Daphnia pulex: one gene and its partner. The main gene of each other region encodes a partner of the protein of the gene in region 2 in a complex. Links are inferred from orthologs where the notes say so. Each region holds a gene or a part of one and is shown on either strand. Other genes may lie near its edges. The genes, in order: N6-adenosine-methyltransferase catalytic subunit-like and RNA-binding protein spenito-like.

Evidence for each region.
Region 1: RNA-binding protein spenito-like (region 2) and N6-adenosine-methyltransferase catalytic subunit-like share a complex: the UniProt entries of both Drosophila melanogaster proteins name them as parts of the WMM complex. The link is inferred for Daphnia pulex from reciprocal best matches to the Drosophila melanogaster genes nito and Mettl3.

Annotation. Positions count from the first base shown.
Region 1 is NC_060028.1:8,119,228-8,123,523, forward strand, and holds N6-adenosine-methyltransferase catalytic subunit-like, read right to left. Parts: upstream 3,055-4,296; 5' UTR 2,882-3,054; coding exon 2,728-2,881; intron 2,672-2,727; coding exon 2,458-2,671; intron 2,397-2,457; coding exon 2,275-2,396; intron 2,212-2,274; coding exon 2,099-2,211; intron 2,045-2,098; coding exon 1,918-2,044; intron 1,855-1,917; coding exon 1,652-1,854; intron 1,582-1,651; coding exon 1,425-1,581; intron 1,356-1,424; coding exon 1,189-1,355; intron 1,110-1,188; coding exon 984-1,109; intron 853-983; coding exon 674-852; intron 543-673; exon of another isoform or gene 482-542; coding exon 376-481; 3' UTR 256-375; downstream 1-255. UniProt on the Drosophila melanogaster protein: Catalytic component of the WMM complex, a complex that mediates N6-methyladenosine (m6A) methylation of mRNAs, a modification that plays a role in the efficiency of mRNA splicing and is required for sex determination.
Region 2 is NC_060023.1:11,551,221-11,555,539, forward strand, and holds the start of RNA-binding protein spenito-like, read left to right. Parts: upstream 1-1,291; 5' UTR 1,292-1,433; exon of another isoform or gene 1,434-1,518; 5' UTR 1,519-1,567; coding exon 1,568-3,869; intron 3,870-3,935; coding exon 3,936-3,949; 3' UTR 3,950-4,319. Other genes in the region: mitochondrial inner membrane protease ATP23 homolog, read right to left, coding at 1-167, 227-412, 484-565, 634-679, 752-938. UniProt on the Drosophila melanogaster protein: RNA-binding protein that acts as an associated component of the WMM complex, a complex that mediates N6-methyladenosine (m6A) methylation of mRNAs. M6a modification plays a role in the efficiency of mRNA splicing and is required for sex determination.

The DNA of each region.
Region 1 (4,296 bases), on a different chromosome or scaffold from region 2:
CTAGCCTGCTTTAACATTTGATATTAGTTTTCTTCATACAGATGATGCGATTCCAACGATTCCCCTTTCCGGTTATGCAATCAGTGAATAATTTTTATTTTCTCAACTTGACGATCTCAGTTGAACAAAAAGGCATGATTCACGTGATCAATGCATGGTAAAGTCGCGGACTTTTGCGGTGTAAATCGTTCAAATTTCAACAACGGCCTCTTGAGGTGCAACAAAAAGTATCCAGTAACAAAGTTTATCATTCTCTTCTTTCTAATTTTTTTATTTTACGCAATCGAGGTGTGTGACACTTATTAAAAATGGGTGGATCAAAATGAATGAACGTTGAAAATGCGGAAAAAAGTAATTCGGAGCGATTCGCAAATTTCATTTGGCATTGGGGGCACTGGCATCTGGATAGTGTTTCTGGTAGGCTCGGGCAATGTCTGGATCAAGCAGATGGACACCATCGAGTTGATTTCCCAGGGTAATCCTAAATATCATGTAACAATGTCATTTACTTGCACGTGATAAAATTCTCATTTCCTTACTAGCGTCCATGAAAAGCTAACCACAAAATATTAGAAGGAAAAGAGCAAAAATACTACGTCGGGCGTCAAATAGGCAGAACGGAATTGAAGGACAGTGAGTACGTAATGCATGAAGGTCAAGTAAATGAACACACCAATTTGGCTGTACGTTGTGAGGCCTTCCAAACAACTCGATTTTGCGCGTTCCGGGCGAGAGACGTTCAATAATGCCATACATTTCGTCTGGTTTGTGGCTGGTTGCCCGCACTTCGGCCACGATGACGTCACAATCCAGTCCGCGGTTCAGCATTCTGGGATTACCCTTCATACCTACCTATAACCAAACAAAAATCCAGATACGCATGTATTGGAAAGTACGTTCGTAGAATATATACGTAACTACTAACTAGCTTAGTAGAGTGATTAAAACGCAAGGTGTAGTAGGGTGAGAAAATACGTCAATACCAAGCAGTGTTCTTTCCCATGGTTTAACCAGTGTCCTGTTCGACCTGTTCGAATAATCCTTTGTAGCTGGTTTGTCTTGACCCAAATAATTTCATCGACCCGTTCGTAGCCCCATAGCTGAAGGCACTAGAGAGAGAGAACACGCGTGAGTCACTTGGTTGATTTTGCTACATGTTGAACAACTATTTTAAAAATGTAATGATACCTCTCGGCCCAATTCCATGGCTCGACCAGTAACCCAGAGGAATATCAATCCTTCATCTTGAAGGATAGGAATGCTCAGTTGTCTCATCTCGTCATCAGAAAGGGTTCCATATGGAAGTTCCATGTGAATATCCCACGGTGGATCAGCCATGATAACCGAAAACTTACCTGAATCATAAATGTAAAAAAGAGAGTATTAAAAAAAACCATGGGACCTGTACATAAGGTTGCATATACCTAAAATGGCCATATCCAATGACCGTAAATCACACTGAATCCACTGAGCTGGGTACAGGACAGTGCTTTCACCTCGCGAGACCACTGCCTGACCGAGCAAGGAGCCGGGTTCAAAATCATCCTTTGTTTTAATGGCTTGGTCAACCTCGTAATGAACCTAACATTTTCCAGAAAATGAATTTAAATGAGAAGGTCTAGGGGGAATGCACATTGCGCAACAAGCTCACGTATTTGCACGTTTCCATATGAAAACAGGTATTCAAGAAAGAACAATCTCCAAGTGACTCGTCTGTGTGTGACTGTATAATTTTACGAAAATGAAGCCGATGGCAATTCCATTTGCTTTCGAGACCGTCATCTGATTCAGACATCCAAACTTTACGGCATTCATCTTTAGTTCCGTGGGCGCAAAACTCTTTAACCTGAGCCCCTAAAGAAAATTACTAATAATCAAAGTAACAAAAAAAAATTTGTCGCGTAAGGGTCAACTAACCTCCTTGTGAACGGAATCTTTCTGCTAAGGATTTTTCTTTGACAGTTGGTTTCGACAAAAGATCCAGAATTTCTTCGCCCATTTTCTTGTTTTCTTTTTCTCGTGTCGACGGAAGCGATAACAAGTTCTAAGGAAACAACAAGTTATATAAGTATTAAAACAGTGAACATATGTATTTTACCATGACATCATCATTTTTGGAATCTTTTTTTTCTCTTTTGGACTTAGATAGATCTTCTTTCACTGTTACAGTTTGTGCTGGTAAAGCCGACTCTTCAGCTTCCACTTCATTTTCTGTTTTGATGCAATGATTAGATTCCAAAGAGTGGAAAGTAGTATAAATTTACAGAATATTACGCTTTCGTTTCAAGGATATGGAATTTCCTAACTGATCTTCAGTAACCATAGCAACAAGACGAGCATGCTCAGCATGTGTGATGGTAAGTACTGGCTGATTTTCCTGTATGCCATCTACAAGTCTTTGAAATGGAATAATACTTAATATGGATTCTCAATCAAATGTGTACACACAACACAAACCTAATAAGTTCTTGAGCAGCAAATTTTTGGAGAAGATTACTGACAATTGTGTGTGAAACTAGATATCCAATTTGAGTGGAAACATTATGGCAAATGATTCTGGAATCTGAAGGTAAGGAAAGTGTGGCATCGGTTAATATCCTGAGAACACAATTTTCAATATCTTTATTGGCTTCTTTGCTGGAACTTGACAGATTTATCTCACATGCTTCATCTAGAAAGAAAAGAAATGTTGAAAAATCAGAATCATTGTTCTAGAACCTCATTTACCTGAAAATTTTTGATTGCTATCTGTTTTAACAGTTGAAGTTGAATCGCCTCCTCCAAGGAGATCTTCTCTTTCTTTTCTTCTCTTTTGTAACCGTTCTCTAAGTTCATTTCTTTTTGATTTGACAGCTTGAATCTCCTCCCAAGCGTCAGACATTTTGGAACAAATCAAAATAAATGTGAGGGATTATAAGAACAACAAAACTTCACAAACAAACCGGCATATGATAGAAAATGTCAGACAAGCAGCCAGATTGTTTTCATTCTGCTTTCAGTGTATATTATTTTAGACGGCCGCTAGATGGCCTTTTTCTGGAAATTGGCAAGGGCAGCAATAAGTACAAAAACGGATTAAAGATCCATGTAATTAAAAAAAATTAACATTACCATTCACTAGGTAACGTAAACCGATCCAATTTGCATATCATATTTTTTTTAATAAAAAAAAAGATGGCACTAGTGTTGGTTCGGGAAATGTCGTTCACGTTGGTTAGAAGTCGTCTGCTAGGACGTCCTTCCTCTTGTCGTGTTGGAACTTTCAAGTCACTAGTCACATCCAGTACGTCAGCCGGTCTTCTCCTTTAATTTCAGTCCCGATCAAAAGTAAGTTTCAATAAAATGTCTGGAAACCAAGAACGTACCTACTTGATGATCAAGCCCGATGGTGTCCAGCGAGGACTCGTCGGTGAAATCATCAAAAGATTCGAACAGAAAGGCTTCAAATTGGTCGCACTCAAATTTGTCCAGGTATGTGTGAATCACTTCTTAATTATAAGGAATTGGATCTGCCATTAATTCTGATTGTTCTTTAACTTGTTTGTGTCACTAGCCTACTGAGGAGATGTTGCAGAAACACTATGCTGACCTGTCTGGCCGCCCATTCTTTGCTGGTTTGGTGAAGTACATGGCATCTGGACCAGTTGTTGCAATGGTAAAGAAATAATTTCTTTAGCTGCAATTAACTGTTAGTTTAATACATGCAATGTACTTTCAGGTCTGGGAGGGTTTGAACATTGTCAAGACTGGCCGTCAAATGTTGGGTGAGACCAACCCTGCTGACTCCAAGCCTGGTACCATCAGAGGAGATTTCTGTATTCAAGTTGGCAGGTAAGACTAGTTTTGAATGATAACTTTACACCACATGTTAAATTTTTTTAAAATTAGGAACATCATGCATGGATCTGACTCTGTTGAGAGTGCCAACAAGGAAATTGCCTTGTGGTTCAGGGATGAAGAACTTGTTTCATGGCAGCCAGCTGATAAAGTTTGGGTTTATGAAGACTAGATCAATTGAAATATTTAAGGGGGGCTGAACATATCAGTGTTTAATATTTTAACTGAGATATAAAAATATCAAACTGAAAATATTGTCCTATTAAATTTCCATATTATTTTAGACGGTCGCTAGATGGCCTTTTCTGGAAATTGGCAAGGGCAGCAAAGTACAAAAACGGATCAAGGATCCATGTTATTAAAAAAAATTAACATTACCATTCACTAGGTAACGTAAACCGATCCAATTTGCATATCATATTTTTATAAATAAAAAGGTGGCACTAGTGTCGGTTCGGG
Region 2 (4,319 bases):
CGGCCAATCGGCTCAAGATCGTTATAACATTTGATAAAGACTTTATCTATGGCTGCTAGCGCTTCTTCTTTCGTGACGTCTGGACGGACGGCCATCACTGAGCCCAATGCTTTCATTTTGACGCATTCGGCGTGTTGTTTACGGATTCGGAAAGGCGAAGCGTCTCCCTGTAGATTAAAAAGCCATATAAAAGGTTGCTCAACGTTTTGATCACACACTTTTTTACCTGAAACATGGCCGACATGAAACTACAATGGGTCAGGTTAGCTGCTCTGATTTCCGTGCACGCCAAATGGTGGATATTTTTAAAATCAAGTTGGTGTCGACATGCGTCAAACATGTGAATCATTTCGTGTGTCAAAATTCCTTGAATTATTCCCTTGTTCCGAACTACATTCTGGCATACTACTATCTATAGACATAATCAAAAGATTATCATTATTAATTGAGAAAAAAGGACTATTTATTATCTGTAATATTTACTTGATTAAGTTTTGGATCATAGCCACCAGAAACCGAGACATCACAAACTTCACAGGCAATGTGTCTCCTCAAATCAATTTCACTATGTCAAAATGCGAGAAGATATTGCAGCATAAATGAAATTTAAAAAACCTTAATTTTATTTCATACCATCCAGATGATTTTAATGCACTGTACATTAACTTAACAAGAGGACCTAAATGAATCAAATGGAAGGATTAATTTACAACTGAATTTTGTAAGAAAACGTAAGTTCAGAGATGTTTACTGTTTTCAAAGCAATTGTAGACATTCCTTTCACATGTAGTTTTTTCTACATTGGTTTGACCAGCACCAAACAAAGCAATCTGCCACCATTTCGCACGTGCAGCTTCACCCCTTCTTTCGGGGTACAAGTCGTAACCCCAATTGTCTTCTTTGTCCACAGGTGCAGCTTCCGATGGTTTATCCGACATAATTATACACCTAGACTAGAAACATGCAATTAACACTGAATAACAATACATGCATCGTAGTAAAGTTTACGATGTCTTTACTTTTACAGGTACTTAATGAGGTTGTTTTGAATTTTTGCTGTTTTTAGTTGTCCGTGTTATTCAGCAGACGACAGACTGCCGGCTGAATGGCTTTACAGCATTGTGTGGAATTTGTTAAAATATTGATTGATATATTAAATTAAAAAACAAATCAAAATATTTCCCAATTAAAATAAAGAGTTTAATTGGAAATTCTCGATATTAAATTCTTAGGTATAAATTGCTAAAATGTAGCATTTTGCAATGCTGCCACGGAATGAAACCCCACCCCCAGAAGCTAAAATTGTCAAAGCCGAGTCCAAACTCAGAATAGAGCTCCGCCATTTTCTTCTACTTGTTCGGACGCGTTCTTTTTAAGCTCTGGTTCGGTGAGAAATACTCGTTGCATAACTGTTCGCAAGACCCACTTTATTGGTTAGTGTGTTTAGTTTTTCATCCATTCTCAAATATTGACGTGATTGTGAAAATGTCGTTGGTGATAATTCATCTTTGTTGCTAGGTTTACGTTGTTTAACATTGAATCGTTGATTGTTTGACAAGTCTTCAATATGAAACGCGTGTCCGACCGTGATGCATCGCCTTTCAGCAAACGCTCTCGTTCAAGCCTAGGCCATTATGATGAAAGCTCTGATGATGAGAGAGGTGGAGCTCCTCCTCCAAGACGTAGGCGTTCACCCAGCCCCAGTCACCGATCAAGATACCCTCTGCCTCCCGATCCACCAGTGATGAGGGAACGAGATGACTACCCACCACCAAGGTCTCGTCCACCACCCCCATCGACTGGTTACAAGACTCTCCTTGTCAGCTCAATCCATCCCAAAGCCAGTGACGAAGTTGTCAAAGACTCGCTCTACAGAGAGTTCAAAAAGTATGGTGAGGTTAGCATCAAGTTGGTGCACGGTGCTGAACCAGAAGACCGTTTGGCCTATGTTTCATTCAGAAACCCTGAAGATGCTCGTGAAGCCAGGCACAGCAAGCAGCGAATCATCTTGTATGACAAACCAGCTGTGCTCGAACCTGTTTACGAACCCTCTACCGCGCGAAGCACCAGGGCGCGTTCACGAAGTTATTCACCGTTGCCATACCGAGGCGAAGAAGAGCGTTACATTCGACCTCGTTCCCCAGATGATCGACACCGCATGTACGACGATCGTTACGATTATTCTCTGCGTGGATATGGTCCTCCACCTCCAACTGGCATGTACAGAGACTATCGTCCACCACCGTACGACTATCCTCCCCGTGGACCGTCATCTTACCGTGGTCACTCTTATTACGGCGCTGGAGGACATCCACCTGTCCCCCATTATGAAAGAAGTGAACGAGGTGGAGGTAGTCGAGGAGGTGGTGGTGGAGGCGGTGGAGCTGGCGGCGGCGGAGGTGGAGGTGGAGGAGGTCGCAATGAAGAAGGAGGCGGTGGAAGAGGAGATCGAAATCACGACCGCTACGAGAACAAGAAAGATCGTTTCCCAAATTATTTGCACCACATCCCGCCAGAAGAGGATCCATTGGCTACTCGGACTCTTTTCGCCGGTAACCTGGAGATCAACATAACAGAGGAAGAGCTGCGTCGCATCTTTGGCAATTACGGCATCGTCGAGGATGTTGACATCAAGAGACCGCCTCCAGGCACTGGCAACGCTTACGCCTTTGTTCGTTTCGAGAATTTGGACCAGGCCAATCGGTGTAAAGTCGAGCTTTCTGGCCAGTACATTGGCAAATTTCAAGTCAAGATCGGTTACGGTAAAGCCACGCCCACTACACGCATCTGGGTCGGAGGTTTGGGCTCGTGGACGTCGCTGGCACAATTGGAGCGTGAATTTGACCGTTTCGGCGCCATTAAGAAGATCGAATACAACAAAGGAGACACGTCGGCTTACATTTTGTACGAGACGATTGAGGCAGCTCAAGCAGCCGTTCAGGACATGCGAGGCTTTTGTCTGGGCGGCCCGGATCGGAAACTGAAAACTGACTTTGTTGACACCAATCCCCCGACAGCTCATCCGCCAACTGCCAAGACTAAAGGATCGTCTTCTTCCTACGATGCTGCCACCGCTAGAAGTGGAGCTGGCGACGATTATGCCGGCGAAACCAACTGGAACAATGGAGATGATCCCAATTATCGTGCGGGATCCGGTCGGACGGGTCGAGGAAACCGAAGTGGCTACGAGAAGAGGCCTAGCGGATATCGAGGATCAGGAGCCGATGGTGACGATTGGTCGGCAAACAGCAGCCGACGTCCTCCACCGGATGATTTTGACGCTGCCCGAGGAGGTTCCCGATCGCCGTCGAATGAAAGGCGAACCGACGACGGTGGAAGATTCACTGGATCCCGTACGCTGGCGGAAGTGGCTCGACGTTCTCCCAGCAATTGGACGGGCGCCTTGGTACTCAAGAATTCGTTTTTCCCCACGAAATTACACGCGACATCTGGCGAAGCGGCGATCGCCGATCTTTTGCTTCACGACGAGAAGAACCAGCCTCATTTGCGAATTACTCAGCGATTGAGGTTGGATCCGCCCAAACTGGAAGACGTTTCCCGTCGAGTTTCAGCTTCTGCGTCTCACGCCATCTTCCTCGGCCTGCCCGGATCGACAGGCGGAGCTTCCAGTCCCACTTCCGACGAGGCTGCAGGTGTCCAGAATCGTCCGCTTCGCAATCTCGTGACTTATCTCAAGCAGAAAGAAGCGGCTGGTGTCATCTCGCTGGCCAATAAGAATGCAGATGTGACTGGCGTCCTTTACGCCTTCCCTCCTTGCCCATTCGCTGCCGATCTACTCCGACGAGCAGCTCCGTCTCTGTCTGACGAGACTCTAAAGGATGATCACTTGGTGATAGTTGTAGTTAAAGGTATATTCAATCATTTCTAACTATCGTTTCATATTTTAATATCTTTCAATTGTATTATTTTGACAGGAGGAACTGCTTAAAACACAAATCAATCGACAACTGATTTACTACCATCTCTCAGACAAAGCCCGCGCACACCTTTAATCTTCTACCAACCGCTACCAAGATTTTTCACCAGCATACGAACGACATCTGGGTTTGGCCGTTTTGTTATCCCTACAAACAAAACCATAAAATAAAACTTTACCATTTTCTTGACCATTAGATGAGCTCTGTCAATCCTGACCTTTCTTTACTTTTTTTCTTGCTTTAACGTTTTCTTTTCAGGTTCCCGAAGCATCAGTTAAATAAGACCAATGTTTGCATCGGTGATTGTGTGTGTGTGTGAATGTGTTGTGTGTTTGTGTCGTGCTTAGGTTTTTGCCTAATACTACTAAACTAACCAGTTTG